Linked DNA regions of Sus scrofa. The protein of the gene in region 1 interacts with the protein of each later gene in a pairwise test. Links are inferred from orthologs where the notes say so. Each region holds a gene or a part of one and is shown in the gene's direction. Other genes may lie near its edges. The genes, in order: SH3GL1 and MTA1.

The links.
Region 2: the proteins of SH3GL1 (region 1) and MTA1 interact in binary tests that used the Homo sapiens proteins (3 or more experiments, as listed by UniProt). The two-hybrid records come from large-scale screens. The link is inferred for Sus scrofa from reciprocal best matches to the Homo sapiens genes SH3GL1 and MTA1.

What each region holds. Positions count from the first base shown.
Region 1 is NC_010444.4:74,412,877-74,417,410, forward strand, and holds the start of SH3GL1 (endophilin-A2), read left to right. Parts: upstream 1-1,581; 5' UTR 1,582-1,769; coding exon 1,770-1,814; intron 1,815-1,821; exon of another isoform or gene 1,822-4,534. UniProt on the Homo sapiens protein: Implicated in endocytosis. May recruit other proteins to membranes with high curvature.
Region 2 is NW_018084979.1:3,459,697-3,464,057, forward strand, and holds the start of MTA1 (metastasis-associated protein MTA1), read left to right. Parts: upstream 1-1,344; 5' UTR 1,345-1,424; coding exon 1,425-1,452; intron 1,453-4,361. UniProt on the Homo sapiens protein: Transcriptional coregulator which can act as both a transcriptional corepressor and coactivator. Acts as a component of the histone deacetylase NuRD complex which participates in the remodeling of chromatin.

The sequences.
Region 1 (4,534 bases):
GATTGTTGTAAATCATGTGGAAAAATAGGAAATTCGAGGACATCGCTTTAGGCAAGTAAGTCGTGTCTTACTCAAGACCTCAGTTTCTCCCTCTGAACCATTAGGATGTTTTCCCTTCCTTCTCTAACATTCTGACATCTGAAATGATTGAGACTAGTGCATCACCCTTCAGGATGCCCATCAGAATCACATGGAAAAAATTTCAAACTATTAATAATAGCCTCATCAGGATCTTGGGGAAAGAGGTTGGAGCCTGCCTATTGCGAAGCAATCCTCTAATCTAGCCCAGGACCTACCATTGAGGCACTTGGAAACTTCTAGCAATCCTCTGCTTTACAAAAGCACTCAACTCTGTCAGAGATTTTGGAAATGAAATTGCAAGCACTTTAGCTCTGGTCATTTTATTATTCTTCTTTTTGGATTCATTTATTCACTTCAATTCACTATTAATTTCCACTTCATTCAATAAAATAACAGTTGGTTAAAAAAGTCAATATCAGTAAACATTTATCAATCTGAGAAGGCTTCCTGGAGGAGGTGCCATTGCAAAGAGTCCTCTTAGGCACAAGGAAAAGGGAAAAGATTGGGGAAGAATATGCAAGAGAGGAACAATGTTAGCAAAACACATGGATTATAGATGAAGACAGCTGAAATCAGAAAAGGTGATGGGGGAGTTCCCATCATGGCACAGCAGAAATGAATCCGACTAGGAACCGTGAGGTTGCAGGTTCAATCCCTGGCCTGGCTTGGTGGGTTAAGGATCCGGCTTTGCCATGGGCTGTGGCATAGGTCCACAGCTACAGCTCCGATTAGACCCCTAGCCTGGGAACCTCCATATGCCACAGGCGTGGCCCTAAAAAACAAAACAAAACAAAAACAAAAACCCAGAAAAGATGATGGGGGCCAAATTATGCAAGCTTTGTAGGCCATCCTAGGAAATTGGTAGTGTATTCTAAGGCCAGTAGGTGGACTTTAAACAGAGGGCTGATGTGATCTGAATTGTGTCATAGAAGCATCTTTCTGGTTGCCTTGTAGGCAATGAATTGGAGGCAAGAACCTGAAGGTGGGCACATCAGAGAGGAGGCTGGTGGAATGGTCTGATCAGGGCAGAGAAGAGAGTTGGGGGTGGGATAGTGGAAAGGAGGTACAAGAGATACCCTGATGTCTGACTTGGGCAACTGAATAGATGAACACTGGGCAGGACGCGATGATGGTGGAAGGTACTAGACGCACAGAAGAACTGGCTATAGCTGAGATTAGTGAACAGGCATCCAAAGTTCTGTAAACTTAGCTTCTGGAGTTCTACTTGTCCCTTGACCTCCCTCTCTGCAGAAAGGTCTAACCGCCTTTCTTAAGAAGTCAGGCCCACCTCCGGGAGTCCAGGGGACGCTGCAGTCGCTAAGGCTCCTCCTGTAGGCTTGCCTGGGCCCACTCACTGACCGAGGAGGCCTCTGCGGTAGTAGGAGCGCGCTTGCGCCACCCGGCCGGCAGGGGGCGCGCGTGCGCATATGGGGCCGGGGCAGCGCGGGCGCGCGCGCGGAGGCCGGCACCGGAAGTGTGCGGTTGCCATGTAATATCCTGGCCGCGCGAGCGCGCAAAGGGCTGAGGCGGTGCCGGGGCGGGCGCGGAGCTGGCGAGGGGACGGCGGAGGCGGTGCCGTAGGGGCCCGCTGAGGCGCGCGGGGGGTTGGCGGCGCCCGGGAGCCTGTCGCTTGCGCGATCCCTCCGGTTCGCTGGGTCCGGGCTGGAGGCCCGACGTCAGGAGGCAGCATGTCGGTAGCCGGGCTGAAGAAGCAGTTCTACAAGGCGAGCCAGGTGAGCAGAGGCCGAGGCAGGGGGTGAACTTCGGGCCCCACGCTGTTCGGAGCTGGGCCAGACCAGGCCAGGCTTGGTCTTGGCTCGGGAGAAGACTGGGGGCACCGAAGGGGCGGCGTTGGCACGTGTCCCCCGGCAGGATGGGGACAGCCCAGAAGGAATGAGGTCTTGTGCGAGGTGGCCCAGGCCCTGCCCGCCATGTGGACTCCAGTCTCCATGAGAAGAGTGGGCAGACCTTTAAGAGGAGCAGAAGTGCTCCCAGAGGTTGGCTCCGGACGAGGACCCCTCTCCTCCTGTCCTCCCCTCTGAAAGGGCAGGGAGGGGGAAGGGATAGAAGGGGAAGCAGTCCCGAGGCTGTCGACACAGGACTCTTGCCAGAGAGCCCAAGGGCAGGGAAATTTTGTGTTTAGAGTCTTTAAAAAACAAAAAACCTTTTCAGTTGGCCCGTTGCAAAGTTGAAATGGTAGACTGAAAAGTTGGTCTCCCACTTCAGTCTCTCAGGCATCCAGCCCCTCTCCACTGAGACAGGGACTGTCACCAATAACAAAAGATAAGTGTATAAATGTACTCCTTTCCTTTAAAAATACACAAGCAGTGGTAACATAGTCTACATAGACCCATGTTCTTGGTGTTTTTTAATTAAATGTGTTTTGGGGATCACACAAGAAACAGAATTCTCCACTTCAGATCATCCTCTGTTGTGGTGGCAGTCCTGGGCAGTCTGGGGAGTTCAGTAGCATCCCTGGCCCCGACCCACTCGATACCAGGAGCATCCCCCAGTTGTGACAACCGCAGATGTCTCCAGATGCTACCGAAAGTCCTTAGGGGAACCTCCTCCCTTCCCCTCCCCCAGAACTACAGCACTAGAGCCTACCTCTAGAGCCTCTTAGATTTTTGATGAGTATGTGGTATTCCATTCCATGATGTCTGTCATAACTTAACTAGTTGTTAATCAATGGATGTTGTTTCCAGGGGTTTTCTGCTGCAACCAATACTGTAGTAAATAGCCAGGGTCTGTCTCTGCCCACAGGTGGGATTAGATTTGTTGGGTAGGTTACCAGAAGTGGAATGCTGAGTCCAAGAATGTAAGCATTTTATGTTGTAACAGACAGAATAGGTGTTTTGGAGAGTCCAGGCCCCGCTGCTCAGGAGTCTGGTGAAAGCTGAGTGGTTCCACTCCTCAGAAAATTGGGCAAATGCAAAATTTAGTTTATAATTTCAGATCCAAGAAGCCCCAGATTCCTTGATCCTATAAGAACCTTAGTTCTGGAGTTTGTGTGGATAGCCTCCAGGAAGGAATGAGCAATGGTTGTTGGAATTGTTTGGGCCGTACTGGCCAACTGGATTCTACCCACAGTTTGGAGAAGTCCAGTGGGAGGGAAGAGAAGTCCAGTAATACACAGCTGGGACCTTTTGCCCCTTGAGGGAAAAAGTAATGACCCTAGCATTGTCCAGGGCTAAAGATATTGGGGGTCTATCTCTAGACTCCTGGCTAAACCCTGGAGGAAGAGAGACTTAATATAGTGGGATTCTAGGATGTTCTGAGAGTACAGCCCTTTGCCATAGCAGGATGGAACTAAGTGACCTGGCCCTACGTTAGACTTTGCTCAGCAGGCCGAAGAGCCCCCACACACTTGATCAGAGCCCCTTGGCATGCTGATCACTGCCTCGGGGCTTGATGTAGTCCCTCCTACTGGAACTATAGGTCTTGGAAGAATTCCTGGGCTACTTTGTTCTTTCATATAGACAGGTCTGTGGAAGCCCTCCCCGCCCCCAGCCATTAGGGCTTATGCTGGTGGCCCATGCTGTCCCTACCAGACACACTGTGCTAGAGGAACTAGCTAGGTCTCTCAAGGGGAAAGAAGGATGGCCTGCATCAAGACCTGTGGGAAGCACTTTGAATCCTGGAAAGCTCAGTGCAATGTAAGCTGGTGGTTCAGATCAATTTGTTATCTTGACCTGAGGCTCAGTCCCAGAGAACTGCTGCGATGGCCACATTCTCCTCTGAGAGAGTCGTCTTGGTCTCCTGACCGATTTGGTGTTGAGTTGTGCTCTCAAGACTCACCCTCTTCTGCAATAGTTTCCATAGACCTCCAACATCTCCACTGTTTATCTGGACGTGTCCACCTTTTTGTGTGGTTTTTTTTTTTTTTGGCTGTGCCTATGGCATGCAGAAGTTCCTGGGCCGGAGATCAAATCTGCTCCACAGCAGCAACCGTGACAACACTCCGATCCTTAACGCACTGCACCACAGAACTCCTCTTTGTGTGTCTCTTTTCTCAGTCTTAGGGACACTGTTTCATCCTCTTTTATGTCCTTGGGGTCATCTGTTCCAGGGTAACATTCTTGTTACCTTGTAATGATATATATTGAGTTTTCACTGTGTAAACTGATGATATGCTTTAAACCAGTCAGTCTCTGATGGTCTCACTTATCTGGCCCAAAGGTAAATGCATTCCTCTTTTTACATGAAAAGAGTTTCAGGGCATTTGTCTTCCTGCAGAACAGTAGTTCTCAGCCAGACCAATCCCACCTTCCAGAGGACACTGGCAATATCTGGAGACATTTTTGGTTGCCACAGCTTGGTAGTTTCTAGTGAGTGGAGGCCAGGAGTCCTGCTCAACATCCTACAGTGCCCTGGGCAGCTTCACACAACTCAGAATCACCCTCCACAAAATCAGCGGTGCTGAGGTTGAGAAACCCTGTTTTAAGGTTTGAGA
Region 2 (4,361 bases), on another chromosome or scaffold:
GAGTCGTGCAATTCCAATGGCTTCCGACTGCCACTCACCTGCCAGCACCCGCGCCGGGAGGAAAACGGCCCCCACCTTTCAGCTGCCTCTGCTCTCCAGGGGCTGTCTTATTTCCAGAAGGGAGGCAGGAGCAGGCACTTTACAGGCAGGACGTTGTGGGCACTCTCTGTGACCAGCAGCTGCCTGGGCATGTATTTATTGGGGGTTCTGATTAAGTTTTGGTCCACCTGTTAGGTAGTGCTGCAGCTTCGCCGTCCAGATGAGGAGATGCAGGCCCCGGAGGCAGGGACCAGGCCTGCGGGGAGCGAGGGAGACCATCGCACCTCGCGACACTTGGGGGACGGCCTACATGTCAGCAGCACCTAGCCCCTGCTCCTCTGCCTTTCCTGGCAGGCGGTCAGCCCTGGGGCCTCTGGAGCCCCAGCCCCTCCAGGTCCCACAGGGCTGGCTCCTCCTTTGCAGCCCCCTGGCAGTCAGGTTGATCCTGGACCCGGCCCCTTGCTTCTCTCCGTGCGGGGCTCCATCCCCTCCGCCCAGCAGCCTCCCCACCCGCCTCCCCGGGCAGCGTCCGGGCCGTCCTGGACCTCAGGCGCCCAGCTCACACGCGGGGCTGGGAGGACAGGCGGGAGCCTCGCTCGCTCCCGCGGCCCCCGCGCCTCCCTGCACCCCCTGGTCTGGGCTGTGCCTGCGGGGGGGGGCCCCCCCGGGGGCGGGGGGCGCCTTCCGGAGGGCGGCCTCCTCCGGGCACGCCCACCCCTCCTCCCTCGGGCACCGTCAGGGGGGCCGTGCCAGCTGAGAGGTGGGGGAAAGCGGCCCGCAACTGTGTGCCGGGGGCCGTGCGGGCGGGGCGCCGAGGGCCGGGGCCGGAGGGCCCGGGCCGCCCACGGAGCGGCGGGCGGCCGAGCGCCTGCGAACGCGCGGACTCGGAGGGCGCCCTCGGGCGGGAGGCTGCGCGGAAAGGGCCGGGCGGGGGGCGGGGGGGGGCCAGGGCGGACCCGGGGCGGAGGGCCGATGGGCCGCTGCGGCCCGGGGCCCGGGGTGCGGGCGGGGCGGGGCGGGGGCGCGGGAGGCGGCGGGGAGCGCGCGGCCGCGGGGCGGGTAACGGCCCGCGCGGTGGGCGGTGGCGCCCGAGGCCCCTCCCTCCCCGCGGCCGCTCCTCCTCTTCCTCTCCCGCCCGCGCCGCGGCCCTCGGTCCCTGCGCGGCCTCGGCGGCCTCGGCGGCCTCGGCGGCGGCGGCGGCGGCGGCGGCGGCGGCGGCGGCAGCGGCGGCGGCGGCGGCGGCGGCGGCAGCGCGGCCCCTTTAAACCGCCCGCCCGCCCGCGCCCCCGCGCCCCGCGCCCGCGCGCCTCCATTTTCCAGGCCGCCCGCGCCGAGCCCAGCGCCCAGCCCGGCCCAGCCCGCGGCCTCCGCCGCCGCCGCCGGACATGGCCGCCAACATGTACAGGGTCGGAGGTAAGGCCGCCGCCCGCCCGCCGCCGCCGCCGCGAGGCGCCGCGGGCCCCGGCCCCGCCACCCGCGTCCCCGCCGGGCCCCCCATCGCGCCGCCCCGCCGCGCCTCAGGCCCCGGTCGGCGCCCCGGGCCTCGCCGTCCGCCGCCCCCTTCCCCCCGCGCGCGCCCCCTCGGCACCCCCTGCCCGGGTCCCCCATCTTGTCCCGCCCCTCCCCCCGTTCCGCTTCCCCCCTCCCCCTCCGCCCGCCTCCCCATCGCCCCCCCATCGGCCCACTTCTGGTCCCCTCCCTCCACCTCTGCACCCCTCCCCCACTGCAGGCCGCCTGCCTGGGCCACCCTCCCTCCTGCCCGCGGCGCCCACTCCTCTGCTGCGCCCCCCCCCCCGCCCCTGTCTCCTTCCCCTTCCCGCTCCATCTTTTCTGAGCAGCCGGCTCCTCCACCACCACCTCTGCCCTGGCCGTGCTCGTCGCCACCCGACTTGGCCCCTTGGCCCGGCCCCTCCTGGAGCCGGTGGGGGGTAGTGGCTGGGCCGGCAGCGGCCAGGCGGGGGCTCTGCCCACCTGTTGGGGGCTGAGCGTGGGGCTGAGGAGCTCTGGGAGTCGCAGAGCATCCTTTGGGGCTGGGGCGCCTGGCGGGATCCCCCCAACTCGGGAGCAGGAGCACGTGGCATTGGGAGGTGCTGGCGGCTCCTGGGAGTGGGAGTTTGGGGCCCTTGTGGTGTGGAGAGCACCCCCGCGGCGGCGCCGAGGGCTGGTTCAGCTGCTGGGGGCGGGGGGCAGTGGTCCCCTCGGGGGGTGGGGAGCTGTATGTGGCGGCCGCGTTCCCGCCGCGAGCCTGCGGTCACCTGGGAGCTGCCCTCTGGGCCGGCGTGGGCCTGGGGGCTTCCCCGGCAGGATTCCCTCTCCAGGTCCTCAGCGGCCTGTGCTCCCCCCAGCGTGCTGCTGGCACCCTGATCTTTTCTCTGCTGTCTCCTGTTTCTGCGGCCCAGCAGGGAGGTGCTTTGCATTTGGGAAAGAGGCAGGTGGCCCCCTGGTTAGGGGGTGCAGAGCTAGCTGAGATCCGGGGTGGGGGCTTCCTTCCTGGGGCTGTTGCTTCTCCCACTCAAGCCCCAGGAAGCCTCCAGCTTTGGGCTTTGCCCCACTTTGTGGGGAGGGGGCTCTAGGAGGCTCGTGCTACGGGTCCCCACGGGGTCCCGAGCTGGCCTCATCTGGTCCTTCACAGGTGGTGAGATGCCCACCCTCTCGGAGACTTTGAGCCGCCCACTTGCCCCCCTTTGGTCAGGGCTGAGGACAGCTCTGGCCTGGCTTTCCAAGTCACCTGTGTCTTCAGTCTACCCTCTCTCGCTGGCCGGCTGACCCCCGAGTGCCAGGCCAACCTTGTGACCTTGGGCGCACCCGCCCCGCTGTCCAGCCCTCCCTCCTCTCTGGCTCAGAGGTGTCACGGAAATGGGGGCCCTTACCCCATTCGGCAGCAGGCCCCTGGTGGACACGGCGGTGGCGGGGGGAGAGCAGGCTAGGGGGCGGGGGCCTTCAGAGAGGGGCCTGTTGGTTTCCCAACTTCTCCAGTCCGGGGGGGAGCCGATCTGTGGAGGGAGGCCCCCGGGGTCTCTCAATACACTGCCAGGCTGGGTGGCCCCCCGTGGAACCCCACGGACGGAGTCGCTTTCTCCGTCCGTTGGCCCCTAGCCCAGCTGCTGCAGCCCAGGGCTCCTGCCCGCCTCGCAGCTGCCCCCTTTCAGTGCCACCCCCTCGCCCTCCTGGAACGCCTTTCCTCAGCGCAGACCCCCTCCTGCCCAGCCCAAGGCCCTCCTCTGGTCTGGCCGTCCCCCCGCCCACTCGGTGCCCCTTGGCTTTCCCCACGCAGAGCCTCTCTGCAGGTGTGGGCTCACCTCCCACCCCAGGCTGTGGCCCTGAAGTCTTGCTCAGCGTGTTCAGTAAATGGAGTGTTCCCAGGGCAGGGGCGCCCAGCTCCCGGCCGGCCGCAGACACCGAGGCTGGAGAGGGAGGCTTGGGTGTCACCCAGAGGCCCTCCGTGGCCTCCTCTGCCTCTCCCTCCCAGGCCCCCCGCCCCGTGCCTGCTTGTCGCGACTGGTTCCAAGGGCCGGGGTGCCCCTGGACTTGGACTTCTGTCACCCTCCTCTTGGCAACCCCCCTCCCTTGGTGTAAACAGGGGTCCTGTGGTGTAGCCCATGGGTGGGGCTGCTTCCACTTGGACCCCTTCGGTCCCTGCAGGGAAGCCTCGTTTGCCCCTGTCCACTGGGCCGTGGGCTCGGCCGGCCTGGTGCGGGCCGGCTGGGCTGCTGTCCCGAGGTGCTGCTGCTGCGCGGGGGTCCGTGTCTGGGTGTCTCAGGGTCCAGATGGAGGCGTCCTGCCCTGGCCGGGGGCCTGCCCCCGCCCGCCTCCGGGGTCTCCTCCACTAAAGACCCGGAGAGCAGAGCCTTTGCCGAAGGTGCCGGCTTCAGCAGGGAGAAGCACAGGACGCCTGTTAAATTTGAATTTCAGATAAACAGTTTCTTAGCATACGTGTGTCCCGAATACTGTGTGGGCCACACTTACATGAGAAGTTGCTCGCAGAGTCCCGCGTCACTTGGGAGTCCTGCGTGTCCCACCTGGCAGGCTGTCCCAAGGCCCTGCCAGGAGTCGGGCGGGGTGAAGGCCTGGCTGCAGCTTTGGGCCAGCTGACCGCCTGGGCCGATTGGGTCGGCCTGGGAGGGGCAGGGCCTGCTTCGTCCCTGGGAAGTGACCTGGCCTGGACAGAGGCCTTCTGTCGGCAGTGGCAGCTGTGGCCGCAAGGGTGGCAGGCGAGGTCTCGGTGTGTACGGCGGGGTCAGCCACGGCCCGGCTCCTCTGGGGTCCGTGCCCTGAGGGCAGGGGGGCCTCGAGCAGGCGTCCAGAACCAGCCATGGGCTGAG